4 linked regions of the Stegostoma tigrinum genome follow. The protein of the gene in region 2 binds, or shares a complex with, the protein of the main gene of each other region. Links are inferred from orthologs where the notes say so. Each region holds a gene or a part of one and is shown on either strand. Other genes may lie near its edges. The genes, in order: mybl1, rbl1, transcription factor E2F5-like and arid4a.

Region 1 (7,438 bases), on a different chromosome or scaffold from region 2:
AAAAGTTCAGATCAAGAGATTTTAAAAGGAGTCATTAAACTGTCTCCATAGACAATGGGAAAGAACGTGGGAGGATCTGGTGGACTCTTTTGGGAGTAGACTGCTGAAGAATTGAGAACTGGCCCAGGTAAAATAGAATGCCAATGATATTGGTAGACAAAGCAATAAATGAGCCTGAAGTGGTCTCTGATGCAGAAAAGGTTGAACACAAGTCAAGGCAAAGTGTTACGAAGGAAAATTTTGGTCAAATGATAGGAGAAAGTAAAATGAAGCAGTGAATGATTCTGTATGATCAACATCAGTTCAAAATACAAATGAGGTCTAAACTAAATACAAAAATTTCAGCCAAGTGTGAGAAAATGGCAGAAGGAGTATAAGAGATTTGCAGTTAACCTAAGAAGGTAGCAAGAGGAGTGGCAGAACTCAGACATACTCATGGAGACAGAAAACATTGTTGAGTTATTTAATGACTTAGCGTCTATCTTCACCAAGGAAGATGTTGTGCAAGCCACAATGAAAGAGGAAGTTGAGAGACTTAAAGGCTAAAAATTTATAAAAGTATTAACTAAAGCAAAGTGTGGATTTACCAAGGGTGAATCATATTTAATTAATACAAATGCATTAAAAACTGCAAAGGCCTGAAAGATCATCATTAGGCAGCATGTGTGAAGAAAAACCGAATTACCGTCTGGCTGAGTACTTTTATCTTGTGTTTGAATTTCATGTTATTTAAGAAAACAACTTGAATTAAATTAGTTAAAAGTAACAGAACGTTTGAGGGTAACATGTTTAAAAGTCGTGTACACAGGCTTCTAAAAGATATTTGATAAAATGTCACATAACAGGTTTGCTAATAAAGTTGAATCCATAGGTAGTGGATACAAAGCTGGTTGAAAGACTGGAAACAGTTGTGGCGAATGGTTGATACAGGGTTCCCCAGAAGCCAGTGCTATGAACTTAATTTTCCTTAATCTATGTTAATGATAGATTTGTGTGGATGGCACAATTTCAAAAATTTAGATCAGAAAAAAAACTCGGAAGTTGTGCGAACTGAGGAACAGAGCAATCACTTCAAGGAGGTCAAAGCAGGTTGATGGGAGTGGGTAGATTAAATTTAATACAAACTGAAACTTACATTCTGTTAGAAAATTCAAGAAAAGGCAAGGAAAACAAACAAAGGCACAACTCTAAAGGAGTGCAAGAGGAAAGAGACCTAGGGTGTGTGTGTGTGTGTGTGTGCATGCATTGTGCAGAGTGGCTGGGACTGATTGAGAAAGCAATTAACACATCCTTCATTTATAAATAGAAGTAGAGTAAAAATTCAATGTAGTGATGATAAACCTCGTCGTTTATCCTCAACTGTAATTTTGTCTCCAAGAAGGGTGTGAAAGCTTCAGAGTGACAACAGAAAACATTGGTAAGATTAGTTCTAGGGATGAGGGGCTTCAGTTAAGAGAAAAGGCTACTGTCCTTAGAGAAGTTTAAGAGAAGTATTTGACAGAGGTGTTCAAAATCATCAGGGATCTAGACAGCATGGACAGGAAGAAGTTACAGTGCTACGTAAGAGTCAGAGGACACCAAGTTAAGGTGCATGATAAAACAAACAGTGCAAGGAAAAACAATTTTTCCAAACAACAACTGAGTGACTAAGATCCAGCATACACTGCCTAAGTGTGGGGTGGTGGCAAATTCAATCATGGCTTTCAAAAGAGAATTAGATAAGTAGCCAAAGTCTTTTTTTAAAAGAAAAGTTAGCTTGCAGAAAAAGATCAAGGGGAATGAGATTAGGTAAACTGCTCTTGTAGACAGACAGCTCAGGCAATAGGCTGAATGGTTCCAGTGTGGCAGGAAGCCATTCTACAAATCTGCTTGATAAACTCGTCATTTCAAATAAAATTATTCACCAGAATACCGAGTACCAAGAACGTATCAGGATAAACTAACTTATTTCCAGCTTACATGAAATGGACTTGATTTCTGTCATTTATTACATGGAAGAATAGGCAAGAAAACTTCAATCCATTTAGCTGGTACTCATTAAAACTATCCTGAAAATCCTATTTAACGCTTTCAAGATAAACAGTGGAATCCTCGTGAGATTCAGGGACAGAAAAACTCTGTATTCCTCTCTCCTCGTATTCCAACCCAACAGAAAAAAACAGAACCTGGGTAATGTTACTACATTGATTTATTCATGGTTAATCTAGGCCTACAATCAATTTGACAACTAAAGACGGCGGTGATTTGAACCGAATCCTAGCAATTGCTATTGGCCAACTACTGCCAATTGTACTCTTGGCCAGGTTCTGTGATCAGTTTTACAGCGATGTTGCACGCCCAGCTATGATGTGGCGTGTTATACCTCCAAAAACACAGGAATGACAACTCAACAGGTTGAAATTTGTCACGTTATACCTGATGCACTGTGCATATTCAACTTTGAACTTTAGCAGCTCCCTAATAAATTTACCTAGATGGACGTAAACATACGCAAACTGCCTTTTGCAAAACTAATCATAACATGACAATGATCCATGGGCGCTTCATTTAGTTTTGTTTTGATAATACATTTGTATAAGAATAGATGCAAACATCACAGGTCCCGTGTAACTCGCTGCAGGCAGCTGACAGCCAGTACAACTTCAAAAATAAAAAAAAAGACAGCTCAATGTTCCACGCTAGTAGTCCTGATGAGCGAAAAGCCACCCGCAGAGCACTCACCTCCGGGCTCGCTTGGCCATCACTGACAGGGACGATTGTCTCCCTTTTCTGCCTTTCCCAGGACTCCTCAATCACTCACTCCGCTCGGGGACTCCGGGATGGTTAGTCTCCGATCATTAATACATGGGCTGAAGGTCGCTGTTGGCTGCCTGAGTACCAGCGGTGGGGTCACCATATCCCCAAGCAGCCCGAAGAGAGAAAGAGTGTATTTGTGTGTTTCTCTCTATATATATATATATATATGTGTATGTATGTACGTGGCTATAGGGGAGCTCAGCTCTCCACTGCTGCCTCTCAGCCACTCTCACTGCTCCGTTTCTATATCCCGCCAAATCTCGCGCCCTGCCTTCCCTCTCAAACACTCCCCGACAATATTTGAATGTGCGCACGCGTCCTGACCGTTCATAGGGCCCTCCGTGCGAGGGGGGCGGCGCGAGCGGCAGCGCGGGCACGTGACAGGCACACTGGAAATTGTAGTCCACATCGAAGCCCGTGCGCCTTGACGGCGAACTTCGACTGCATGCGCACTTGACAGGCACTCTGGGAATTGTAGTCTATATGGAAGCCGTGCGCCTTGAGAACCAACATCGAGTGCGCCATCTTGTGTGGGTCCCAAACACCGCCGCTGCTGTTGGCAGGCGATGGGCAAGTCTGTCATTGATGAGTGCCTGTTGCAAAAAAACCTAACCATAATGTGACAGTTTATTTCAATTAAGTCCTTTTTTTTGTTAAAACATACGTAACAAGAATAGCCAGGTCGGTGTAGTAGTATCATAGAATCCCTGCAGTGTGAAAGCAGGCGACTCGGCCTGTCGAGTCCGCACCGACTGTCTCGAGATCCAACCCAGACCCACACCTGTCTTTCCCGTAGACACTGAGGGCAATTTAGCACGGCCAATTTGCCTAACCTGCACGTCTTTGGACTGTGGTAGGAAACCCACGCAGGCACGGGGAAAATGTGCAAATTCCACACCGTCACACCCGACGTTGGTATCGAACCCAGGTCTCTGGCAGCAGGGCTTACCCCTGAGCCACTGTCACACCTAGTGTCCCTACTTCTGAGACAGCAGGCCCGGGTTCAAGTGCCACCTGAGCCCAAAGTGGGTTATAACATTTCTGAACGGTAAAGATCAAAAAATATCGAAAGGAATAGATGTAAACATCGTACTCAGCCGGTCTGTTGCGAGAGAAACAGCGTTAATGTTTCAAGTCCAATGACCCATTCGTCAGATGAAGTTTCTCTAGCGATTTCTGCTTTTGTTTCAGATTTCTATCATCTGCAGTTCTTAGTTTTATCGTCGTAGTTTCAGCATATCTCACAACGTGTATGTTTGTAATAAACCTTTACTCGAGTTACAAACCGCAAATTATAGAATATGGTCCCATCTTGGAATGAATGTATTTTCTCCCCCTAACCAGCAACATCATTAGACTCTTAATTCCAGACTTCTTATTAAATTCAGTGCCACCGCTTGCCATGGGAGGATTTGACCATGGGTTCCCAGAGCATCACCTGTATCTCTGGATTAGTCCAGGGATAATTTGGCTGGGCCATCACCTCCCCACACTTTAAAAAGGCCCTTGCTCTCAAAGTTCTCACTGAGAGGTTACAACGTTTGAGACTTCGAAATGGTGTCAGAGCGAGAAAAAAATCTGAGGAGTGGTGTTTGTGTTATTGCTATCTTTATGTTGTACCTTTCTGTTTCTTCTGCTTATGTTCCTGGAATAAGTAGACAAGGGTTTAACTTATTAAAAAAACTTGCATTTATAGGTAACGCAGTGTAGAGTAGGAGGAACACAGCAGGCCAGGCAGCATCAGAGGACATGGGGCTAGTGTTTAGATTCCTACAGGGTGGAAACAGTCCCTTCGGCCCAACAAGTCCACACTGCCCCTTGCAGCATCCCACCCAGACCCATCCCTCTATAACCCACACACCCCTGAACACTATGGGCAATTTAGCATGGCTGATCCACCTAGCCTGCACATCTTTGGACTGTGGGAGGAAGCTGGAGCACCTGGAGAAAACCCACACAGACACAGGGAGAATGTGCAAACTCCACACAGACAGTCGCCTGAGGGTGGAATCGAACCCGGGTCCCTGGCGCTGTGAGGCTGCAGTGCTAACCACTGAGCCACCGTGCCGCCCTAGTGGGGAGTGTGGAGCAGACGAGGGAGTCATGGAGAGACCGGTCCCTATGCAAGGCAGATAGTGGTGGGGAGAGAAATATATCTTTGGTTGTGGGGTCGGATTGCAGGTAGCAGAAATGACAGAGAATGATACGTTGAATATGGTTAGTGGAGTGATAGAATCCCACTTGTTCTCATATATCTTTGTTTTTGTTGCAGAAAGGGATGTGAGGGCAGAGGTGCGGGAAATGCAAGAGATGTGGGTCAAGTGCATTTTTGACCACCAAAGTTGGGTGGGACAGGATGTTGCGGTCCTTGAAATAAGAGGACATCTGGGATGTTTGGTAGTGGAACCCCCCCCATCTTGGGAGCAGATGCACCAGAGGTAGAGGAATTGGGAGTAGGGGATCCCATTCTTGCAAAAAGGTGGGTAAAAGGAGCTATAGTCTAGGTAGCTGTGGGAGTCACTGGGCTTGAAATAAATGTTGGTTTTGAGGCGGTTACCAGACATAGAGATATCAATATCCAGGATGGAGAGAGAGGTATCAGAGATAGTCCAGGTGAACTTGAAGTTGGGGAGAAAGGGGTTAGTAAAGTTGAGGAACTGTTCAAGCTGTCTCAGTGACTCCCTCTTCTGCTCCACATTCCCCACTAGCCCCACCACCCCTAGCACCTTTCCCTGCAACTGCAGGAAGTGCTACACCTGCCCCCACACCTACCCCCTCACCTCCATCCAAGGCACCAGACAAACCTTTCACATCAGACAGAGGTTCACCTGCATATCTGTCAATGTGGATTATTGTATCTGCTGCTTCTGATGTGGCGTCTTCTACATCGGTGAGACCAAGTGGAGGCTCGGAGACCGCTTTATAGAGAACCTGCATTCTGTTCGCGACAGACGACAACACCTTCTCGTGATGAACCATTTCAGCTCCCCCTCCCTGGGCGACATGTCCATCCTGGGCCTCCTCCAGTATCACAATGACACCGCCTGGAAACTGAAGGAGCAGCACCTCATATTCCATCTTGGGAGCCTACAACCCAATGGTCTCACCGTGGACTTTACTGGTTTCAAAATTTCCCCACCCCGGCCTTATCCCATGACTAAGCCTCTCTCTTATCCCCGCCTCCTTGATCTGACACAATCTGTCCATCTCCTGTCCCACATATCCGCTCTTCCCACCTCACTGACCAATCCCCACCACTGCTTACCTGTGCTCACCTATCACCATTCCACCTACCTTCCCCTGCTCACCCCTCCTCTTCCATTTCTTAAGGGTCCTGTCCCAAACGTGAATTTTCCTGCTCCTGTATGCTGCCTGGCCTGTTGTGTTCCTCCAGCTCCACACTGTATTATCTGACTCCAGCATCAGCAGTTTTTACTGTCTCTGACTGGCATTTATATCAGTTTTTTCACTGACCCTAAGAGGCCCCAATGCAATTTACAGAAAGCAAGGTATTAAGTACAGTTACTTATGTAATGATTTTGCATTAAATATCAGCCTGAATTATTTTTAGATTTAAATACCCCTGCAGACTCATTATGAAACAGGAGCTTTACTGGAACACATCTTACTGTTCTGTTTTACGTCTTCCACAAACTTGTACGATCACCATATGACATCACATCACTTTCAGACATAGATTAGTACTAATCTATTAACAGTCCATTAAAATTCACACCGCCTCCATCTTCTCAAAATCTCTAATGGTGATTTCTGGATTGTGAAAAGCAACAATCCACAACCTTGAACTCTGGTATATTCAGTTCTTAAATGTTGTTTTCTCCTCATGTCCTTTCTCCATTCCTCTTTTAAAGACCACAATGGTTGTCCCCATATGAGTCTATGTCAAAGGGTCCTTGTCTCCTCTGAAGGGAACAGAAACATTGAAGATAGCAGGAGGCAGCCCTTCAGCCCTTTGCTCCTGCTCTGCCATTGTTCATGTTATGCTGATTGTCCAACTCAAAAGCCTAACCCTACTTTCTCCCCACAACCTTTGATCTATTTTGCCTCAAGTGCTATATCTAGGCACATTTTGAATACGTTCAGTGTTTTGGCATCAACTACTTCCTGGGGTTATTAAATCCACAGGCTCACCACTTTTCCGGTGAAGAAATCAGGGCTTTGAGTCCAGCACATTGTCTCTTAGACTTTCCTAGGCAGGAGGGAATTGATAGCTGACTTTGACTTGCAATGCACATTTTCAACTGATTTGATGAATGGATGCAGTTTCTCTGATTTATTAAATTGGGTAGATGACTGCGTCCACAGGCTACATGGCAACCAGTGCAAGCCTGTTCCATCTTACCTCATTACACAGCCTATTATTTTAATGATCTAGGGCCATGGATGTTATGTCACAAACACTTGTCCACAGTAAGTTTGGCATTAGATCCAGACGAACTTGCCTAGTTGGAGTGTGCCTCATCATATTTGAGGTAGTTTCACATCTAGCTGGAACAGTATTTGTGCTTATAACTTGGATGCGTAAATGAGAGCAGGGATTGAGTTCTTAGTCCTCTTTGCATTAGGAGTTCACATTGTGCTGGACAATTTTGTAGAGTCATAGAGCTATACAGTGTGGAAA
Region 2 (7,051 bases):
AATTGCTTCTCCTGTTCTCTGCATCTACCTGTGTCATAAAGAATGTTACCTTAACTTTGATGAGCGGAGGATTCTTGTCAGTGACACACCGTTTCCTTCCATTGTCCCCTTGCCAACAGTTGGCGTGATACTTTTGCGACAGGCTACATACAAGGCACATGCAAGCCAGTGCAGAGTTTCTCCCTGAAACAAGCATTAAGAAACGAGTCCATTAAAAATAGGAACACAATCAGACTAGTCTGTCCAGACTGGTGTATCACTCAGTATGGGCGTGACTAACCTTTCAGTTCAACTCCACATTCCCACTTGCTCTCCATATTGCTAGGTTCTGAAACGTCAAAAGATCTCTCACCCTTGAACATATTCAGTCAGAAGTCACATGACACCAGGGTATAGTTCAGATTTATTTGAAATCACAAGCTTTTGGAGTGCTGCTCCTTCGTTGGCTGAGGTGAGGTGACATCACCTTACTGAAGAGTTTTGTTTTATTCAGGAGTAGTTAATAGTTAAGGGGGAATTGTTTGTTTGTTAGTAGTTTTGCTAATTTGTTCACTGTTAAAGTTAGATAAGTAAATTGTTACATTTTGTTGATTGAGTAAGTGAAAAGATTCCATTTTATTTAACCACTCCTTTACAACAGATTGGGGATGACCAGCTGGTTATAACACTTTTCATACTTCTTTTAACAGATTTTTGGCAGGGGGGGGGCATCAATTTCCGCTTCATAACACATGCAGTGATTTTAAAAAGCTTTAATGAGATTTCTCAGAGATAATAGGAACTGCAGATGCTGGAGAATCCAAGATAAGTGTGGAGCTGGATGAACACCTCAGGCCAAGCAGCATCTTAGGAGCACTTAGGAGATGTGTTCACCCAGCTCCACACTTATCATTAATGAGATTTCTCCTCATTTTTCATGGCCCCACACAAGGGAATCCTCATATTCCAGGATCCAATCGAGTAAATCTTTGTTGCACTAAATAGATATACGTGAGCTTAGATTTGGAGACCAGAAGTGTACATAGTACATAACATATGCTCACACCAAAGTCCTGATCTCCACAAAATGAATTTGAAATCACTGAAATAATCCTCAAACTCCATGAACTATTCCACTGTTTCACTGCAACTTCACCTGGGTTAACATACAATAGTTCCCCAGGTGCAATATCAACATAGAATTGATAATTAGGACATTCATGCAGGCATGACTATTGAGTGAAATGTTCTTTAGCTTTGATTTTGTAGCAAATGGGCAGGCACAAATAGAATCAATCCAATTTACAGCACAAAATATCAGTGAAATTATAAATTGAAAGTGAGTTTAACTCTAAATTGAAAAATGCATTTAATGACTCAATCTATTTCTTCTGTTACAGATGTTTATATTGCAACTATTTTTCCTTAGCAATAATCTTAATTATTGGAAGGAAACAAGTGAAACTTGCAGAGTGACCAAGTTAGAGACAAGTACAAACATAAAGCAAATTCCACAACACAGAAATGCAGCTGGTGTGTTTTAAAACCAACCACTACACACATCACTTCCGCACTCATCAAAAAGACATCATATATCACAGAAATGATCAGCAATATACTAGTTAACCACAAACTGTGTTTTCAACTGTTCTATTTATTGAATGTGGTAGTGGTACTGCATTAATAATCAAGAGAAATTTAAATTCTCAGTTTAAAAACTTAAATTCCACACAAATGAGGTTCACACTTTAGACCACTCTAGATAGGAGCAGCATTAAGCTCTTCAGCACATCAAATCTGCTCTGCCACTTGATCATGGCAGATATGTTCCTCGATCTCCTGCCCTCTCTCCCCCATCCTTGTTCCTATTGCCAATCAAGAACAGCTATGAGTTCCACAAATTAACTATCCTCTGGCTGAAGGAAGTCCTCTTCCATTCTAAAGGATGGTCCCTTCACTCTGAGTTTGTGCTCTTGGGACCAAGTCTCTCCTACAGGTAGGAGCATCATCTTCATGTCCAATCTATTCAGGCGTCTCAGTATTCTTTAAGTCTCAATGAGATACATTCCCTCAATTCCAAAGCCTTTCCCCATTTAGAAAGCAGTCAATGCCTGTATGCTTCCTGCCAAAGTACTCACTGCCGCAGCAGGCTGAGGAAGCCAAATGGTTGACTGTATTTAAGACAGCAATTGATTCGTGAGGGGATCAGGGGTTACAGGGAGAAGGCAGGATGATGGGTTTGAGCAACACATCAACTGTGATCAAATGGGGGCACAGACTAACATATAGAACATAGAACAGTACAATACAGGCTTTGACTCACAATGTTGTGCTGATCTATTATCCTAAGATCAATCTATCCTGCTTCCACTACAGTTTACTACCCTCCACATGCCTGTCCAAAAGGCTCTAAAATATCTGACTCTATTACCATTGCTGGCAGCGCATTCCACACACTCACCACTCTCTGTATAAAGAACCTACCTCTGACATCTCCCCTATGCCCCCCTCCAATCACCTTAAAATTATGTCCCCCTCGTAACAGTCATTTCCGCCCTGGGAAAAAGTCTGACTATGCACTCTGATCATCTTGTACACCTCTATCAAGCCACCTCTCATCCTTCACTGCAATGAAAAAAGCCCAGGCTCCCCCAACCTTTCCTCATAAGAGCTGCCCCACCACACCCCACCAAATCCAGGCAGCATCCCAGTAAATCTCCACTTGATAGGCTGAATAGACTAATTCTGCTCCTATATCTTATGGTCTCAACTCCAACGCTGTAGTTGAGATAGACCGGGGTTGGGGAGGCTCTGCGACGACCCCTACTCCCAGCCACCCTCACCTCCAGAGTGTAGTTGAGGCGGATCCGCTGCAGGTTCTCCCAAGCCTCGGCCCCGCTCTCCAGATCCATGTTCAGGTCCTGACACAGTTTGTCGAAGCTGTCACGCAGTGACCGCCTGCCGCCGTCCCGGCTCTCTCCGCTGGGCATGGTGCTGGCTCTCCCTCCCGGCTCAGTACCTGTCTGTCGCTTCCCGTATCCCTGCCGGTTCGCTCTGACTCCGTCCCTCCGACTCAGTCACTCTCTCCCACCGCGACTGCCCCGGCTCCACTCGGACACTAATCCCACAGTACACCGCGGCAGTGGCGCCAAAAACCCGCGCATGCTCGACCAGGTCACCACGCCCATTCTATAAATAGCCCGGAAAGAGTAGCTCGCACAGCCGGATCACCGCGGAGCACTCGGAACCTAACGTCACCCATACTCCGCCGCCCAGCCAGAAAGTACCTGAGACCTCCACCCCCCTACCCCCACCCCACCGGCATCACCTTCGCTCACTCACCGCGCCCCCCCCGCCTCCGGCATCACCTTCACTAACTCCCCCCCTTTTTACCCGTTTCACTTTCTCTCCCCCCGCCCTTTTTACCCGTTTCACTTTCTCTCCCCCGCCCTTTTTACCCGTTTCACTTTCTCTCCCCCCGCCCTTTTTACCCGTTTCACTTTCTCCCCCCCCATTTTTACCCGTTTCACTTTCTCCCCCCGCCCTTTTTACCCGTTTCACTTTCTCCCCCCCATTTTTACCCGTTTCACTTTCTCCCCCCCCTTTTTACCCGTTTCACTTTCTCTCCCCCCCCATTTTTACCCGTTTCACTTTCTCCCCCCCCTTTTTACCCGTTTCACTTTCTCTCCCCCCCCATTTTTACCCGTTTCACTTTCTCCCCCCGCCCTTTTTACCCGTTTCACTTTCTCCCCCCCATTTTTACCCGTTTCACTTTCTCTCCCCCCCCATTTTTACCCGTTTCACTTTCTCCCCCCCATTTTTACCCGTTTCACTTTCTCTCCCCCGCCCTTTTTACCCGTTTCACTTTCTCCCCCCCCATTTTTACCCGTTTCACTTTCTCCCCCCGCCCTTTTTACCCGTTTCACTTTCTCCCCCCCATTTTTACCCGTTTCACTTTCTCTCCCCCCCCTTTTTACCCGTTTCACTTTCTCCCCCCCATTTTTACCCGTTTCACTTTCTCTCCCCCCCCCTTTTTACCCGTTTCACTTTCTCCCCCCGCCCTTTTTACCCGTTTCACTTTCTCCCCCCCATTTTTACCCGTTTCACTTTCTCCCCCCGCCCTTTTTACCCGTTTCACTTTCTCCCCCCCATTTTTACCCGTTTCACTTTCTCTCCCCCCCCTTTTTACCCGTTTCACTTTCTTTCCCCCCCCTTTTTACCCGTTTCACTTTCTCCCCCCCATTTTTACCCGTTTCACTTTCTCTCCCCCCCCTTTTTACCCGTTTCACTTTCTCTCCCCCGCCCTTTTTACCCGTTTCACTTTCTCCCCCCCCATTTTTACCCGTTTCACTTTCTCCCCCCGCCCTTTTTACCCGTTTCACTTTCTCCCCCCCATTTTTACCCGTTTCACTTTCTCTCCCCCCCCCTTTTTACCCGTTTCACTTTCTCTCCCTCCCCATTTTACCCGTTTCACTTTCTCCCCCCCCCCCCATTTTTACCTGTTTCACTTTCTTTCCCCAGCCTCAGCATTTGAACCAATTTCAACTTGACCTTTTGCCATCTTGCCCACCCTCTCAGAAATGGTCAAATTGCAGAATGGATTTCTCAAGAAAGAACAGCTGAATTATATGCAATACTACTGGGAATGATTTGCTCCTACTCCTGTTCAATGGGTTCTGGAAGGATCAGCAGATTCTAACACAGGGAGAGCAGGTGCTATTTGAAGAGTTGCTTAGATGGTTGTTTGGGAGTTTGTGTGCTGTCACCAATTCTACATGTTCTCAAGCAAATCCCTTAATGCATTTGTGCATTTTGAAATGATTCTTCCCCACTTCAGTCAAAACCGATCCAGGGATTGCACGAATTGACAGGAATGCTTCAAGCACCTCAACAAAACCACTTCCACTGCCCTCCCGGCAGACCCCTGTAAAAACTAAGTTCAGACCAGAGCAGCTGCTTTGGGAGTCTATCAGATCAACAAATGAGATCCTGCCCACAGCAACTGGTTTGTGGAAGGGTCACTGGATATCAAACATTGTGTCTATTTGCTTCCATAGATGGAGCCAGACCTGCTGAGCTTCTCCAGCAGTTTGTTTTTGTTTTCAATCTCCAGCGTTGACAGTTCTTTTGTTCTATGATTCTGCCAGGAATAATTGCTGGCCACATTGTTGGGGGAGGGTGCTGCTGTTGGACTGCCTTCCTTGCCTCTTGATTTGGTGGATCTTGTGAACACACCACTGGGTGCTAATTTACTCATAGTCTGATGTGGTTGTCCAAAGCACATTGAAAAGAGAAGTTCTCCTAAGATGCTGCCAGACTTGCTGTGTGTCTCCAGCATTGTTTGTTTCTCCAAATTATTGCTTTTCAGCAATGGAAAAGAGAGAGAGAGATCAGAATGCTGAATTCCAACATTGTCAACGTACAGCAGTGGGGGAAAATAGATAGCACGGCATAAAGTCCATCCATCCAGAAAAGGCCCCCATTGACCAGTAGTCTGTAAATCAAAAAGGTAAACCGACGCCAAGGATGCACTCGGATTTCCTTTTGATTCCCCATTCCATGCTCTGCTGTCCCTCTTTGAAATCATTATCCAAACTCCACTGTCATCACTGTCACAGAGAAGCTTAGTTATAGCTAAAGTCCAGCATTTACAATCAATATTAAGTCAATGGAGTGCAAAGTACTGAGTAGAAAAAAATTAATGTGTTTAATAGCCCCGAAAAAGAAATTTCCCTTGACTGGAATCCCGAATAAAACATCAATGTTACAACGAATGCTAAATCAGTTAAGGATGAAATTAAGAAGGACTTTTACTACATAGAGTAGCAGAACTCTGGACCATTTTCTCCAGGCTATAAATGTTGTGTTGATTGTTCCCAATCACAATTCAATGTTGACTGAGAACAATAGATTTTTGTTAGTTAAAGGGATCAGGAGATAAGGAACAAAGGTGTGTAATGTTGAGATAGTTTATGGCAATGATATAATTGTGTGGCAGTGTAAGGTCTCAAGAGATTAAATGGTCTCCTCCTATCCCAATTTAAATGAAGTCACACCCCAACATTACGTAAATTCTGCAAAGGCATTTGATAAAACTGACAACCATTTTGGGGCAAAGATGTAATCACATTGATAAAGGTCTGTCTTGCTTATTAAAGTGAGTCATCAATCAAGATGTTGGGGACTACGCAACATTTTACAATGCAAGGTAGATTTTATTCTGAACATTTTCAACCAAGTGTCTTGCTCAGGTAGATTTGCACAAATACTCCCAACACAAAGCACTAAAGGGAAACTAAATGAGGATTCTCTCTTCTGGTATGTCACACAAGTTTGTGAATTCTTATCTTCCAGACTGTACAATACAGCAATAACAGACACTTCCTCTGATGGAGGTGAAAATAATAATTATTTATGCTAAACAATAGATCCTCTTTATTGGATAATCTGTTTCCTAAAATCCTTACATTACTTTCCATTACTGATCAAAGTCTGAAGGAGGTCAGAAGGCTGAATTCCAATTGTTCTGTCAGATACAGCTGAAGCTGCATGTCCAAGGGAAGAACTGGACCACAAATTAATGCTAGTTCCTTTTAAAAGCAAAACTGAAAGAAACTAAACACGTCTCAAGCAAATTTTCTTTTTTAAAAAAGAAAAACCCACCCCAATAGCAGATTCTTCCATTAAGCAAATGAGACGGAAACTCTTGCATGACCTCAGACATCAACACCGCTCTATGCCGGGTTGTTAACTTTTTATTGAGGCTTTCGACAAGTCAGGTACAGTATTTAGATACAAGAGCAATTATATCAGTAGGTTGGGGATATTGATACAAAATAAATGAGGTATCCAATACGCAGCATTGCAACATTGACTAAATTTGAAAACAACGTCACTTCCTCTAAGGCTTTGTTTTAAGAATAGGAACCAGGATGAAATGATTGAGAGCAGAGGGAATCCGTGCCGGGCTGCCATTAGTGTAGACAGGGGAAAGCACAGTAGAAAGAGGCCTTTTTTTTGCCACAGAAGCCTTGCATTATGAACTGTTCAAATCTAAAGTCTATGCTGCTCC
Region 3 (7,613 bases), on a different chromosome or scaffold from region 2:
TCAGTCCAGGGAGGATGGACAGGTCAAGGGGGCAGGAAGAGGTTAGTAGGTAGGAGATCAGGGTGGGGCTTGAGGTAGGAGGAGGGGATAGGTGGGAGGAAGAACAGGTTAGGGAGGCGGGGGTGAGCTAGGCTGGTTTCGGGATGCAGTAGCGGGAGGGGAGATTTTGAAGCTTGTGAAGTCCACATTGATACCATTGGGCTGCAGGGTTCCCAAGCGGAATATGAGTTGCTGTTCCTGCAACCTTCGGGTGGTATCATTGTAGCACTGCAGGAGGCCCAGGATGGACATGTCATCTGAGGAATGGGAGGGGGAGTTGAAATGGTTTGCAACTGAGAGGTGCAGTTATTTAGTGAGAAAACCGAGTGTAGGTGTTCTGCAAAGCGGTCCCCAAGCCTCTGCTTGGTTTCCCCGATGTAGAAGAGGTCACAACGGGAGCTGTGGATGCAGTATACCACATTAGCAGAAGTGCAGGTGAATATCTGCTTGATGTGGAAAGTCTTCTTGGGGCCTGGGATGGGGGTGAGGTGTAGGGGCAGGTGTAACAAGGAAAAATGTCAGGTGTGGTGGGGCTGGAGGGGAGTCTGGAGCAGGCAAGTGAGTCACGGAGAGAGTGGTCCGTCCAGAAAGCAGATAAGAGTGGGGAGGGAAAAATGTCTTCGATGATGGGGTCGGATTGCAGATGGCGGAAGTGTCGGAGGATGAAGTGTAGTAATAGTGGGGTGGTAGGTGAGGACGAGGGGGGATTCTGTTTTGGTTGTTATTGCAGGGAGGGGGTATGAGGGATGAGTTGCAGGAAATGCGGGACACACGGCCAAGGACATTCTCCACCATTGCGGGGTGGAAGTTGCGGTTCTTTAAAAACAAGGACATCTGAGATGCAAAGGAGTGGACTGCCTTATCCTGGGAGCAGATGCAGCGGAGGCAAAGGAATTGGGAATAGCGGATGGCATTTTTGCAGGAAGGTGGGTGGGAGGAGGTGCATTCTAGGTAGCTGTGGAAGTTGGTGGGCTTGAAATGGATATCGGTTTCGAGGTGGTTTCCAGAGATGGAGACAGAGAGCACCTGGAAGGAGAAAGAGGTATTAGAGATGGTCCAGGTGAACTTAAGGTCAGGGTAGAAGGTGTTGGTGAAGTGGATGAATTGTTCGAGCTCCTCGTGGGAGCACGAGGCGGCGCTGATACAGTCATCAACGTAACAGAGGAAGAGGTGGGGTTTAGGGCCAGTGTAGGTACGGAAGAGGGATTGTTCCATGTAACCTATGAAGAGGTACACATAGCTTGGGCCCATGCAGGTACCCATGGCCACCCCCTTTGTCTATAGGAAGTGGGAGGAATTGAAAGAGAAGTTGTTGAGAGTGAGGACGAATTCGGCTAAGCGGTAGAGGGTGTCAGTGGAGGGGGACTGGTTGGGCCTGCGGGACAGATAGAAGCGTAGGGCCTTTAGGCCATCTGTATGGGGGATGCAGGTGTATAGGGACTGGGCGTCCATGGTAAAGATGAGGTGTTGGGGTCTGGGGAATTGGGAGTTCTGGAGGCGGCGGAGGGCGTGGGTGGTGTCACGGACATAGGTAGGGAGGTCCTGGATCAAGGGGGAGAAAATGGAGTCGAGATAGGTGGAGATAAATGACTTTGTGACAAACCTGACTACGCTGGTCAACACATTGTCTCCACCTCCTTCTGCCCCACTGAACTTAGCTCCACCTATCTCGACTCCATTTTCTCCCCCTTGGTCCAGGAAATCCCTACCTACGTCCGTGACACCACCCATGCCCTCCCCTCCTCCAGAACTTCCGATTCCCCAGTCCTCAACACCTCATTTTCACCATGGATGTTCAGTCCCTATACACCTGTATTCCCCATACAGATAGCCTAAAGGCCCTCCGCTTCTTCCTGTCCCGCAGGCCCAACCAGTCCCCCTCCACTGATACCCTCATTCGCTTAGCTGAACTTGTCTTCACCCTCAACAACTTCGCTTTCAATTCCTTCCACTTCCTGCAGATAAAGGGGGTGGCCATGGGTACCTGCATGGGCCCAAGCTCTGCCTACCTCTTCATAGGTCACGTGGAACAATCCCTCTTCTGTACCTACACTGGCCCTAAACCCCACCTCTCCCCATTACGTTGATGACTGTATTGGTGCCGCCTCGTGCTCCCACGAGGAGCTCGAACAGTTCACCAGAACAGAACACCTTCCAACTCAACCTTAAGTTCACTTGGACCATCTCTAATACCTCTCTCTCCTTCCTGGACCTCAGTCTCCACCTCTGGCAACCATCTAGAAACTGATATTTATTTCAAGACTACAGACTCCCACAGCTACCTAGAATACACCTCCTCCCATCCACCTTCCTGCAAAAATGCTATCCCCTATTCCCAATTCCTTCGCCTCCACTGCATCTGCTCCCAGGATGAGGCATTCCACTCCTGTACATCTCAGATGTCCTCGCAGTTCAAGGACCACAACCTCACCCCCTCAGTGGTCAAGAACGCCCTCGACCATGTCTCCTGCATTTCCTGCAACTTATTCCTCACACCCGTCCCCTCAACAACAACCAAAACAGAACCCCCCTCATCCTCACATACCACCCCACCAACCTCCGGATCCAATGCATCATCCTCCGACACTTCCGCCATCTGCAATCCGGCCCCATCACCAAAGACATTTTTTCCTCCCCACTCTTATTGCTTTCTGGAGGAACCACTCTCTCTGTGACTCCCTTGTCTGCTCCACATTCCCCTCCAGCCTCACCACACCTGGCACTTTTCCCTGCAACCACGGGAAGTGGTACACTTGCCTCTATACCTACCCCCTTACCCCCATCCCAGGCCCCAAGAAGACTTTCTACATCAAGCAGATGTTCACATGCCCATCTGTTAATGTGGTATACTGCACCCGCCGTTCCTGTGGTGGCCTCCTCTACATCGGGGAAACCAGGCAGAGGGTTGGGGACCACTTTGCAGAACACCTACGCTCGGTTTGCACTAAACAACTGCACCTCTCAGTTGTGAGCCATTTCACCTCCCCCTCCCATTCCTCAGACGACATGTCCATCCTGGGCCTCCTGCAGTGCCACAATGATGCCACCTGAAGGTTGCAGGGACAGCAACTCCGCTTGGGAACCCCACAGCCCAATGGTATCAATGTGGACTTCACAAGCTTCAAAATCTCCCCTCCCCCTACTGCATCCCGAAACCAGCCTAGCTCACCCCTACCTCCCTAACCTGCTCTTCCTCCCACCTATCCCCTCCTCCTACCTACTAACCTCTTCCTGCCCCCTTGACCTGTCCGGCCTCCCTGGACTGACGTATCTCCTCCCTACCTCCCCAACTATACCGCCTCCATCCCTGCCTCTTTGACCTGTATGTCTCCTCTCAATCTACCTTCTCCTCTATCCGCCTCCCCCGCTCTATTTATTTCAGAACCCCCTTCCCCTCCCCCATTTCTGAAGACGGGTCTCCCCCCAAAACGTCAGCCTTCCCTCTCCTTTGTTGCTGCTTGGCCTGCAGTGTTCATCCAGCTCCATTCCTTGTTATCTCAGATTCTCCAGCATCTGCAGTTCCTATCTCTGAAACAACTCGGTGTTCATGGTCTTTTTTGCAGGACATAGTAGTTCTGCTAAGCTTTGTTTCCCCAATGAAGTCGCCAGATAGTTGAGTCTAGCAACAACTTTCATAGCATTGTTAATGTGATAAAATGATATGGGAGTCTTCACATTGGTTTTCTCCAATAAAACTTGACAGCGACCCATAAAATATCACAGCAAATGACCAAAACTTAGCCAAGGAGGCAAATTTTTAAGGAACATCATAAAGAATGAAATTAAGTCACAGAGGGTTACATATAGAATTCCACACTTTTATGGTCCAGGCAAATAACAGAATAGTCACTAATAATGGAACAATTTAAATCCAGGATGCGCAAAAGCTAGAATTGCAGGAATCCAGATATTTCGGAAGCTTGTGGGGCTGGATGTGATTACAGTGACATAGCTTTGGTGATACTGAAGTCCTATTAACCTTCGGAACATTTCGTTAACTGTTTTCCACAGATTCTGCCAGATCTGCTGAACCTCTCCAGCACTTTTCTGTTTGCATTTCGGATTTCCAGCATCTACAGTGTATTATTTTTATGTGTATATATTCCTAGCATGGTGTCCCCCAATGTTGAATGGGAGACAAATTCTGTCCAATGCAGTACTGGGTGCTGGAGAAGCAGGTTGATCCACTTAGAGTCACCGGATTAAGGTTGGGCTGGCCGTCCGTGTGTAAATTGCCTGTGGCAGTTTTTGGAAATCCTTCGAAGTTTGTTTTCATTGAACAGTACAGTGACTTTTTGTTTCCCCTTGCACTTAAAGCCATGGCCTGGGTCTCGAAATAAAGTAGCATTCAACCTCATCTACCAACTGTCGCCAGGACTAACTGCGCTGCCCGGTTACCATGGCGTTGCCGTGTCGCAGACGTCACTTCCTGGATTTTGAACACTGTTCCGCGGTATCTGATTGGCTGGACAGTCTTCAAAGTGGGGTGGGTGGTGAAGCTTTAGTCGCGGTGACGTCACAATCGTCCGTGGTGATGGCCGAGTCTGTCCGTGAAGAGAGCGGTTGGAACGGCACGGGTCACGGAATCCGAGGTTCAGGCTCGAGTCCGGCCTCGAGCCGCCACGAGAAGAGTCTCGGGCTCCTCACCACCCGATTCGTGTCGTTGCTGCAGGAGGCCAAGGACGGAGTGCTGGACCTCAAGCAGGTCAGGGCCAGGCCAGCAATGGCAGGGGAGAGAGCACATGTGTGAAAACAAAACCTGCGAGGCATCTCCTGCTGCTGACCAGTCCAGCAGCTCCCTCAGCATTCTTGAAGCACGATCTTCACACGTTTCACTCACCCATCCTTTTTGATTCACTTGTAGCGGAGCGTAGGTGCTGATTGTTGTCGGCTCCCCGAAGGGAATAATTTGTGGCACAGTCTCTATGCAACCATATAACACGTTTTCTTTAATTTTCATATTGGAAGTGCGTTATTTTATAAACGAGGAAATAATCGTTTTCAAACTTATAAAAGGTGTGGTGCTGAATCTGGAATGGGTTACTTGCCTGTTTCATTATCAATCGTTCCATTTCGGCAACTGATTTAAGAACATGTAACATTTATAGATAGTTCTAATCGACCTGTTCAGACATGTCGTGACACAGCTCTCAACAGGTGGGACTTGAACCCAGAGGTAGGGGCGCTACCATGGCACCACAAGAGCCCTGCGAGAGCGCTTGTATAACGAATTTGCTGTAGTAAAATACCCCAAGGTGCTCGACAATGGTATGTAGTCAAAACTGGATGAATAGTCGAAGATATTAAGAGGGGTGACCTAAAGTTTGTTTAGTGTGGTTTTTAATTATTAATCCTTGTATAGAATGAAGGGAGAATGAAATTCAAGCATGAAAAGTTTTTGTGGATGGGGTGTTTGTAGCACTGTCAAAGAAGTTGCATCTGAGATTGGTAAAACATAGAGGAATTTAAATCCAAGGTAATATTTTTAAATCCCAAACATTGGTACCTGCTTTTCCTGTATGGATCACTCATGAATAAAGAGTCTGTGAAATTGCCTGGAATATGAAATTTAAATGAGACTGATCAGGAAAACATTGTGACATTTAAATTTAGTGCTCACAATGGGACAGAAAGTTTTTCCACAGTAGATAGGCTGATGTTTGTCACGAAGTGGGTTATCCAAAAGCAGGGGAACTATAACTATCAAGGTCAGCTGTGTTCATCCTGGAGAAAAAAGCTACATTAACACAGTGACTTCAGCGTACCTAGGATGTCCCAGACACTTCACAACAGTGTTTTTGAAGTATACTTTTCTATGTAGATATAAAAAGAAAGGGTTTGGGAAAAAATATAGTGTGACTAGCTTTGTCACAGGGTAGAAATGATGATGGGTGGAGACTCAGCTGCCAATTTGTACCAAGCATGATCTTCAAACAACAATGCCTCAGAGATAGTAAGAGCTGCTGATGCTGAAGTCAGAGATAAGAGTGTGGAACTGGAGGAGCTCAGAGGAGCAGGAAAATTGACATTTCCTGTTGGGACCCTTCTTCAAAAATGGGGGAGGAGTGGGGGCAAGGGAGCTCTGAAATAAATAGGAGGGGTGGGGAAGGTAGGTGGGGTGGTGATAGGTGAGTGCAAGTAGGCAGTGGTGGCGAATGGTCAGTTAGGTGGGAGAGAAGATGGACAAGGAGGTGGGGACGAGAGGGAGAGTTGGTCGTGGGATGAGGCCAATGGTGGGGAGATTTTGAAACTGGTAAAGTCCACATTGAGACCGTCGGGTTGTAGGCGCCCAAGCCGGAATATAAGATGCTGCTCCTCCAGTTTCCGGGTGGTGTCATTGTGATGCTGGGGGAGGCCCAGGATGGACATCTTGTCTAATATATTTTAGTGATGTTGACTAAGCAATAAATATTGGCTACAACCTGAGGGACAACTACCAATTTAAGTTTTATCCCCTTGTCATGTACAACACAAAATCAATTTGCATCATACAGTTAAGAAATGTACAGCACATTATTCTCATTAGAGGGGGATAGTTGTTCTTTTCGTGCCATGTCATTTTTTTCTCCTTACAGTTTTGATTGGAGGATCTTTTCTATTTTGAAATGAATTATCTTGCTGGAGGAAAATCAAGTACTTTAGTAATACTCTTTTTTAAAAGTGCTGAATATTTTTTTCCAATAGAATTTCACCTTTGAGGAGGAATGGATTTGTATGGTATATTGCCACAGACTCCTTTGGCATTCTACAGCCCACCTTTCAAAACACAAACATTCTAGATCTGAAGGCTTATTATTTTACAGGGGATTATTTGTGCTGAATCAAAATAGACACATTGACTAATGTTTAATTTAAAGATGGCACTTCAGACAGCGCAGTACTCCCTCAGTACAATATAGGACTGTTGATCAATGTTTTTGTGTGCAAATCTTTGGAGTTGACCTTCTGACTATGATAGCGCTATCCACTGAGCTACAGTTGACACCTGCAGTTGCTGATCTTATCAGTATTTCATAATTCCTGAAATGCTGTTGCTTCCCAATCCCATCCTGTTCTCCCTAGCCAGAGACCAGACCTTTGCCTGTTACTTTTTGTATAATGTCATTTTTTTCTACTTGCAGTTTTGATTGGAGGATCTTTTCTATTCTGAAATGAGTCATCTTTCCAGCTTCCGTCACCCCACCTCCAGAAAAATCAAGTACCTTAGTAATGCTCTTTTAAAAAGTGCTGAATTTTTTTTCCAGCAGACTTTCACCTTGAAGATGGAATGGACTTGTATAAAACGATGCCAACAAGTCCCCTTTAGCATTCTGCAGCCCAGCTTTCAAAATAAAAACATTCTAAATCTGAAGTTTTTTTTTTAACAGGAGATTATTTTGATTCAGCATATTTAGAAGTACTGATGCAGATGGGTTTTGTGTTGGACATCACCAGGGAAAAACATTTAATTTGGATTGTGAACCAACAATTTTTCAGCCTTGTTCCCTAGGAATATAACATTGACATCCTTGGCGCCGCTTGTTGAAGCACCAAATCTCAAATATCTTCACTTTAAAGTCAGTCTTATCATTCTC
Region 4 (7,591 bases), on a different chromosome or scaffold from region 2:
TGGCTACAAAGGATAGCCATGTGTAATAGGTGGCCAGAGTTTAAGATGTTTTTAAGATACAAAGGAATTAAGGAAAGTGGGGATTATGGAGAGTAGATGGAGCAAAGGTGGAAGATCAACCTTTGTCTTACTGACTGGTAGAGCAAGATCCAAAGCATAATAGCTTCTCCAGCTCCTACGTTTTAGATTGGGTTATTTACTTGTCGAGATTTATAAGAGAGAGCGAGATACAACATATATTAGTGCAAAATTATATAATTAGCCAAAAATATCACGTGATAAGAACTGTTCTTCAGAACAAAAATTCACGATTTCTAACCTGATTTTGAACAACAATTTTATTTCAATAAAAGGTTCACATACAAAAAGAAGATAGCGTGGATAATCTGTCTTAGTAATTTTGGTTGTGAGACTAAAATTGCCCAGGAAATAGGGAATACTCAACCATTCTTTCAGTCCTGCCATGGAATCTTTTATGTCCAACTGAGACATAGAGACCTTATTCATGACTTAGTAGGCCTTCCTCATGCATAATTATCTTGCAACAAAATTTACTGCACACAAAACATCTATAAATGCATTCAAACAGTTTATTTCACATGAAGTTACTTGATTTAGATTTCATTTTATAAAATTCTACATGGCATCATTACAATTTTCCTTCCTCAAAAAGTACCAAGTTCAGGGATTAGGTGCAAGAAAATCAAGTTTCTGATATTCTTAAATTTTGCTTAGCATGGTTTAAAACATAACCCTAAATGGTCAAATCTTAGTGAGATTCTCCATGGTTTCAACAAGGGCTCAAAGGGAAATCTGAATCACTAATTTTGGGTCTTACTTCAAGACATAAGGATGGAAAGCATTTGAATTTTCTACCAGTCTAGGAGAGCGGAGCTCCACAAACAGGTCAACGCCACCTAGCCACAATGGCTTTAAAAATCAATTAATTCTATCAAAAGATTTCCAAGACAACACTCCGCAGCATCAACAATTAAAATTCTAACTTCCAAAAAGAAGAATTATTTAAAGTCACTCGTTTAAACACCACATGAGACCCCAAAGCCTATTTCAGTCAATTACATTCTGAGAGTGATAGTTCCTTCATCTAGTGCAAAAAACATGGCAATTTACATCCAGAAAGATCCTGTCCGATAATCTACTCGAGTGATGTTGGTTGAAGGAACAACTCCACTACTTCAAAATAGGGTAAATCAATCTTTAACATTGATGTCGGGGTGGGGGGGGGGAATATTGGGTGTGTGTGTGTTTGTTAAAATTGTCAACCGTTTCCACACATCTTTGTTGACAATAAAAACTGGCCTTGTAAACTCTGTATGCTATGGTTTCATGCATTACAAAAAAAGAGATGCTTTAGGTGCCAGCTCTAGGAGTAAAGTAACAAATGAAGAAAATGTCTCTATTTTACACTTAACCAACCAGAGGGATTGAAACTATTAATAGAATGTCTGAAGGAAAGGATCCACCACTTTCTCAGTCTGGCAATCTCCTACACAATATGCAAAAACCAATGCATCTGTTAAGATGTATTTCATGGACTGGTAAACAGCAGACTGCATTACTCTAAAATCAGTCTAATCCAGTTTTGACATTGGTCAATTTTAAAAGCAAGAAGCAACAGGAAAAGGTCAGTTCCATCACTGGATCTGGTAACATATCTATTGTAAATATAGGAAAGGAGAAAATAGAAGTTTAAAAAATCATTTGTACAGTATGACTTTTCACTTCTTGGTTTAATCAAATCCAGATTTGGATGCATTGAAAGCATTTCATTGTCTTCTTGCCAACTGTATGTGTTCAGTTAGAGACAATTTCACTGATTACAACATAGGCTACATGCCACAGTACAAAGATGACATTCTTGCTGCATTTTTTGAAGATCCAGTGTTGTTCTTTGCTGTATTAGAACTCATGTAAGAGAATATTGGCCTATATATCTATTCCCTGAAAACCTCAAGGTAATTAAAAAAACGGATGCAAAATATCAACTGAAAAGGAACATGGCTCTTGCAGATCAGTGAATGTTCAACCAATCCAAGATCTGATTGCTGGCCCGTAAAGAGTTACTAAATTAGCAGTAAAACGACGATACTATTGCTCTTAAGCATATCAGTCCCAGCTTATCTTGACTTTTGGCTCAAGAAGAGTCAAGCTGAACTCAAAACATTAACTGTCTCTCTCCACAGATACCGCCAGATCTGAATTTCACCAGCATTGTATGTGTTTCAGACTTTCAGCATCCATGGTATTCTGCTATTAAAGGTCTACTGAGCAATCAGTTGAGTTGGGAGGAAAATCTATACAGTATGGGTTAAGTCCTACCGAAGAGAAAAGCTTGGAGTGTGCATGTAATAAGAAACAACACCTTGCACTTTACTGGTTATCACAGATACAGCATAGAAATAGGATGAATGAGAAAACAAGATAGAGAAAGGAGTAATTTGGGTAAAAGCGGAGACAACAATAGAAAAAAGGGTTTTCAACCGAGTTGGAGAAATCCATGAGATCAGAGTCATTCGGTATGGAAACAGACCCTTAGGTTCAACTAGTCCACGCCAACCATGTCGGCAAACTAAACTGATCCAACCAGCCTGTGTTTGGCCCATATTCCTTGAAACCTTCCTATTCATGTACTTATCCAAATGCCTTTTAAACTTTATAAGTGTACCTGCATCCACCACATCCTCTGGCAGTTCGTTTCACACAAACTAAATGTAAAAGAAGTAGTTGCCCTTCTGGTCCTTTCTAAAAAATTATCCTCTCTTCAAAACATGGAAATGTTAAGTTCTTACCTACCTTATGGGAAAATAACCTTTGCTATTCATGTTATTTATGCCCCTCATGATTTTATAAACCTCTAAGTTCATTCCTTAACCTCCTGTGCTCCAGTGAAAAATGTCCTAGCCTACTTTTATAACAAACACTCACAGCAACATCCTGGCAAATCTTTTCTAACAGTTTCTAGTTTGATAATATCCTTTGTGAAAACATATCACAAGAAGAAATAATGGTGCTGTGACAGAAAAGACTTGTATCATTCTCATTTTTCAGAATAATCTTAGGGTTGTGAAAGCATTTGGCCAAGGAGAATGGGTGGTGAACTAATGGAGGGGCCAGGTCAACTGGTAAATGCTTTAACTCTGAACGTGTAGTTGTTGTACATAGTCCCCAAGTGAAGACAATGATGAAGAATATAGAAAGCTAGATGGATAAAACACTGATCAAATTTAGCAATAGCAGGAAAAAGGGAAGAAAACAATTCAAAGGAAGAGGTCTCAAAATATGCAGAGATAAAACGATACATTTGATTGCAACAACCAAAAAACTTGAAGAACACAGAAGGGCCAATCAGGATAGAATGGGAAATTAGAACACGTTCTGAAACGTTCAAAGAACTGAGGACAGCCACGAACTTGGTTTTGCATTAACGTCAGAGTATGGGTGTAACATGAGAACAATTTAAAGATTCAGATTCTTTAATACTATCTTTAAAACATAGTACACTTCTCGATGAATAGGCCAGAAAACTGACACCACGTTTTCCTGATACTTCAGCCACGGAAATAGCCATGAAAAATTTACAGATGAATCTTCAAAATAAATATAAATTTCTGCCTGGGTATATGCACTCGAAGGGCGACCTTTGGTTACTTTACTAGGTTTAGCATTACTTAAATGCAAATTAGCGCTCTCGTCTCCCCCCCATGTGAGTTTTAACCACAAATGAAGTTTTATATTGTACTGGTCTTTTTGGGTACTACAAACTTTGTATGGCCAGCAGCAGTAGTAACAACTTTGGACTCTGACAGGACAAAACCCCTCGTGCACGCCGCGTGCACACTATTTACAGCCGCAGCTGTTTCCGGGAACGTAACAGCTCCATGACGCACTAACAATCAAAGACGCCATTGAATCGAACCAACTCCCCAATGACGAGAAGAGAAATAGCCTCCATTTGACCTTTTATTTTTACTCGCTCGAACATTTTTTACATTCCGCAACATTCCTAAAACTTACTTTAGACAGTTTTCTAAGAGTTCCGATGAAAAAACAACGGCGAACCCGCGAAACAGCAGCTGAAAGCAAAGAATTTCCTGGTCCAGCTGAACCTCCTCGCGGTCGCTGCTTCTGCCGCCGCTTCAACAGGACCTCAAACAGCAAAAATCGCCACCAAGATGGCGCCGGAGCACCTCTCCCAGTTGCGCCTGCGCACGGCTCAAGCGCCGTCTGGGGCTACAGAGCGTGCGCAGAAGGCGGGGGATGCGTTGCACTCTGGGCCTCAGAGGCCGCTCGGATCCGTTTCCATGTGACCGCACAGCCAATCGGTGAGTGGTGCGGCCGTCTTGCTCAACATTCAGCCAATCGGAGTTCGAGAAAGGCAGGCTCGCTCAACAGCTTGTTATTTCGGTTTTCGCTGGGACCCGGGGAAGTGGACGTTAGCGGTGGACGTGTGTGAGTATGCGGTTCCTCCAGTAGTCTCGTTGGCCTTTTCACTTCTGTAGGCTTAGTGCAAAACATAATTTGGCTGCTTTTAAACAGCGTCGTGGGCGGAGGTTGGCTGGTCCTCGGTTATGAAGCTGAGGTGAATTCGCCGGAGCCCTTTCCCCCTTTTCTCGGTTTAAAGTGAACGTAGGGGGCATTGAATGGCAGTCAGCTCCGACTTCTCCACTGCCCGCCTGTTTATGCATTTTGCTGCTGTCCTTGGACCGGTAGTTCAATTGAGAACCAAGGTTTATAATCTGTTGGGACGGTGCGAAGGTGACTTGTATGTTTACGGTGGTTTCCTGCTTTTTTTATTCATGTGTAAGAGCCTCGATCGTCGCGATTTTTGTTAAAGCGCCTTAGATGTGAGGGGGGACGGGCTTAAAAGGCGGTCCGAGGCAGTCCTGTTTTTAACTTCGCCACTGTTTCCCATCGACCTGTTTTGAAGTACTGGTCTCACTTGCTTCTTTACAGAGAGTGCGTTTCTAAATTCGTATCGAACTGCAAAGAAAAAGTGGTGGTAAACGAGGGTTTTCTACTCGTAGGAGGGTGTTGGAGGGGGAGGGTGCGTTTGGCTGTCGATCTATGAGCGGAGAAGGCGACTGATTTGCCGGGACACCTCCATAATTGTACTACAGGATCTGAGCTTGTTGAACTGACATGGTGCAGAAATCGAGAGAGCAATGGCGACGTGACTCAGGATGGAGGAACAAGCGGGAAGGGGCAGTTAAATTGTCCTAAAAATCCACATCGCGTTTCAAATGTATCTTCATTGATCTCACAGTAATTTATTTAATGTATTGTTTAAAAATTTCGTGTATATGAACTTCGTAGCTTCCCCTGGATAGGGCAAGTAGAGTACGACGAAGGGAAAACATGTTATTTACATCTGAGTACATTGAAAGCTTGGTGTGTTACATGGTCCTTGTAGATTGCAGTTTAATTTTAACGAGTCGACTATGATCATATCTTTTGCTTAACTGCAGTGATCACAACTTCGAGCTGGAAGCACTCACGTAAATAGGACACTCGAAAATGAAGGTAAGTTGTCTGTATTGACTCCATTACTTCTTAACAACGTTTCTCTTTTTGACGAGTTACGTTATCCACTTTTGTCCGTAGTCGTAATGCTTGACCGTCTCAGACCGATTATTCTTTTTAATTGAACGGTTATTTGAACTGCTGAGTCGGCCTAGTAGTAAGAATGCTTGTTAATTCTGTTCAGAGCGCTGATGTGATAAATATCTAAAACGAGATGATTTGCATGACCAATAACTGATCTTTTGAACTAGACTCATGGATGAAACTTCTAAAAATATTTCAGAACAAGTAAAATAATGGTGTACTCAAATTACATATGGAGTGAAAGCAGTTAATGCAAAGAATAACACAACAGTGATTTTGTGAAGAAACCCCTGAAACTTTGGTGTGTTGCTGTAGAACTACTTCTGAACTGTGCCTCTATTCTCCTCAAATTTGTCCATTACAAATATGTAAATTAAACAGCCTGATGTTTGGTGGGTGTTGTCACAAATGGTAACTGCAATAATTTATGTAATTTTTTTTCAATGGGCATTTGCCTTCCAATCTTCATGCGTTTTTACGATTTCCAGGTGCAACAGCATTCACAAACTGATCTTTTTAACTTTATTTATTTGGGTGTAATGTTGCAGGTGTAATAGCACTCAGCAAGCTTTCATCCCTTTAGTTTGTTATAGAGTCGTAGTTATACAGCTCAGAAACAGACCCTTAGTCCAATTGATCCATGTCAACCAGGTATCAAACTGATCTAGTCCCATTTGCTATCATTTGGCCCATATCCCACTGAACCTTTCCCACTCATGTAGCCATCAGATAATTTTAAACATTGTAATTGTACCTCCCTCTGTCATCTTTGACAGCTTGTTCCATACATTCACCACCCTTTGTGTTTAAAAAGTTGCTTCCCAGGTCCCTTTTAAATCTTTCTCCTTTCACCTTAAACCTGCACCGTTTAGTTTTGGGCTCCCCTACCCTGGGGAAAAAGACCTTGGCTTGTCAGCCGTCATGATTTTATCAACCTTTTATAAGGTAATCCCTCGGCCTTGATGCTCTGGAGGGAGAAAAGTCCCAGCCTGTTCGCTTAAACCCTCCAATTCTGGTAACATGCTTGTAAATCTTTTCTCAAGTTTAACAAAATTTTTCTAACAGCAGGGAGATCAGAATTGAATGCAGTATTCTAAAAGTGATCTCATCAATGTCCTATTATAGCTGTAGCCAGCGCACCAACCAATGAAGGCAAGTGTGCCGAACATTGCCTTCACCACCCTGCTTACCTGTGACTCTGCTTTCAAGGACCTATGCACTTGCACTTCTACATCCCTTTGGTAAAGGGCCCTACCATTAAGTGTGTAAACCCTGCCCTTGTTTGATGTACCAAAATGCAATGCCTCACATTTATTTAACCTCAACTACATCTGCAACTCCTTGGCCCATTGGCCCATCTGATCAAGGTCTCGTTGTATTCTGAGATAGCCACCTTTACTGTTCACTACAATCACCAATTTTGGTGTCATCTGCAAACACACTAAGCATTCCTCCTATATTCACATCCAAAACATTTATGTAAATAACAAAAAGTCGTGGACCTGGTGATGCTCCTTGCAGCACACCACTGGCCACAGGCCTCCAGTCTGAAAAACAAACCTGTACCACCGCCCTCTGTTTCCTGCTTTCAGCCAATTTTGAATCCATTTGGCTAGGTGCCCCTGCATTTCTTATTGTCTAACCTTGCTAATCAATCTACCGTGGGGAGCTTTGTCAACGCCTTGCTGAAGTCTGTATAGACAATATCTGCCCTCATCAAACCTCTTTGTTACTTCTTCAAAACCTCAATCAAGTTAGTGATATGCATTTCCCATGTATAGTCTTGTTAACTATCCCTCATCAGTCCATAACTTTTCCAGATGCATGTAAATCCTGTCCCTCAGAATCCCCTTCAACAACTCACTATCACGACCTCAGACTCACTGGACTGTAGTCCCCTGGCTTTTCCTTACCACCTTTCTTAAATAATGGCACCACATTATCCACTGTCCAGCCTTCTGGTCCC

What was found.
Region 1: rbl1 (region 2) and mybl1 share a complex: the UniProt entries of both Homo sapiens proteins name them as parts of the DREAM complex. The link is inferred for Stegostoma tigrinum from reciprocal best matches to the Homo sapiens genes RBL1 and MYBL1.
Region 3: the proteins of rbl1 (region 2) and transcription factor E2F5-like are in contact, whole or in part, in a crystal structure (PDB 5TUV), measured with the Homo sapiens proteins. The link is inferred for Stegostoma tigrinum from reciprocal best matches to the Homo sapiens genes RBL1 and E2F5. Residues at the interface, in NP_002886.2 of Homo sapiens: Ser1000, Ala1001, Leu1002, Leu1003, Tyr1004, Lys1005, Phe1006, Asn1007, Ile1017, Met1020, Ile1021, Gly1024, Glu1025; in NP_001942.2 of Homo sapiens: Met162, Ile190, Ala192, Pro193, Ser194, Gly195, Thr196, Gln197, Leu198, Glu199, Val200, Pro201, Ile202, Pro203, Glu204, Met205, Tyr213, Leu217.
Region 4: the proteins of rbl1 (region 2) and arid4a are in contact, whole or in part, in a crystal structure (PDB 7SMC), measured with the Homo sapiens proteins. The link is inferred for Stegostoma tigrinum from reciprocal best matches to the Homo sapiens genes RBL1 and ARID4A. Residues at the interface, in NP_002886.2 of Homo sapiens: Tyr849, Ile850, Lys853, Val854, Thr860, Phe861, Gln862, Met865, Lys866, Arg869, Tyr879, Arg880, Asp929, Leu930, Ile931, Tyr934, Asn935, Val939, Ala946, Leu947; in NP_002883.3 of Homo sapiens: Leu957, Val958, Cys959, His960, Glu961, Val962, Asp963, Leu964, Asp965, Asp966, Leu967.

What each region holds. Positions count from the first base shown.
Region 1 is NC_081358.1:31,539,132-31,546,569, reverse strand, and holds the start of mybl1 (myb-related protein A), read right to left. Parts: upstream 3,076-7,438; 5' UTR 2,742-3,075; coding exon 2,722-2,741; intron 1-2,721. UniProt on the Homo sapiens protein: Transcription factor that specifically recognizes the sequence 5'-YAAC[GT]G-3'.
Region 2 is NC_081372.1:1,760,489-1,767,539, forward strand, and holds the start of rbl1 (retinoblastoma-like protein 1), read right to left. Parts: upstream 3,091-7,051; 5' UTR 2,970-3,090; coding exon 2,823-2,969; intron 184-2,822; coding exon 50-183; intron 1-49. UniProt on the Homo sapiens protein: Key regulator of entry into cell division. Directly involved in heterochromatin formation by maintaining overall chromatin structure and, in particular, that of constitutive heterochromatin by stabilizing histone methylation.
Region 3 is NC_081358.1:85,387,334-85,394,946, forward strand, and holds the start of transcription factor E2F5-like, read left to right. Parts: upstream 1-4,535; 5' UTR 4,536-4,573; coding exon 4,574-4,744; intron 4,745-7,613.
Region 4 is NC_081363.1:50,108,034-50,115,624, forward strand, and holds the start of arid4a (AT-rich interactive domain-containing protein 4A), read left to right. Parts: upstream 1-4,432; 5' UTR 4,433-4,468; intron 4,469-4,500; exon of another isoform or gene 4,501-4,600; intron 4,601-4,638; exon of another isoform or gene 4,639-4,776; intron 4,777-4,788; exon of another isoform or gene 4,789-5,020; intron 5,021-5,486; 5' UTR 5,487-5,535; coding exon 5,536-5,541; intron 5,542-7,591.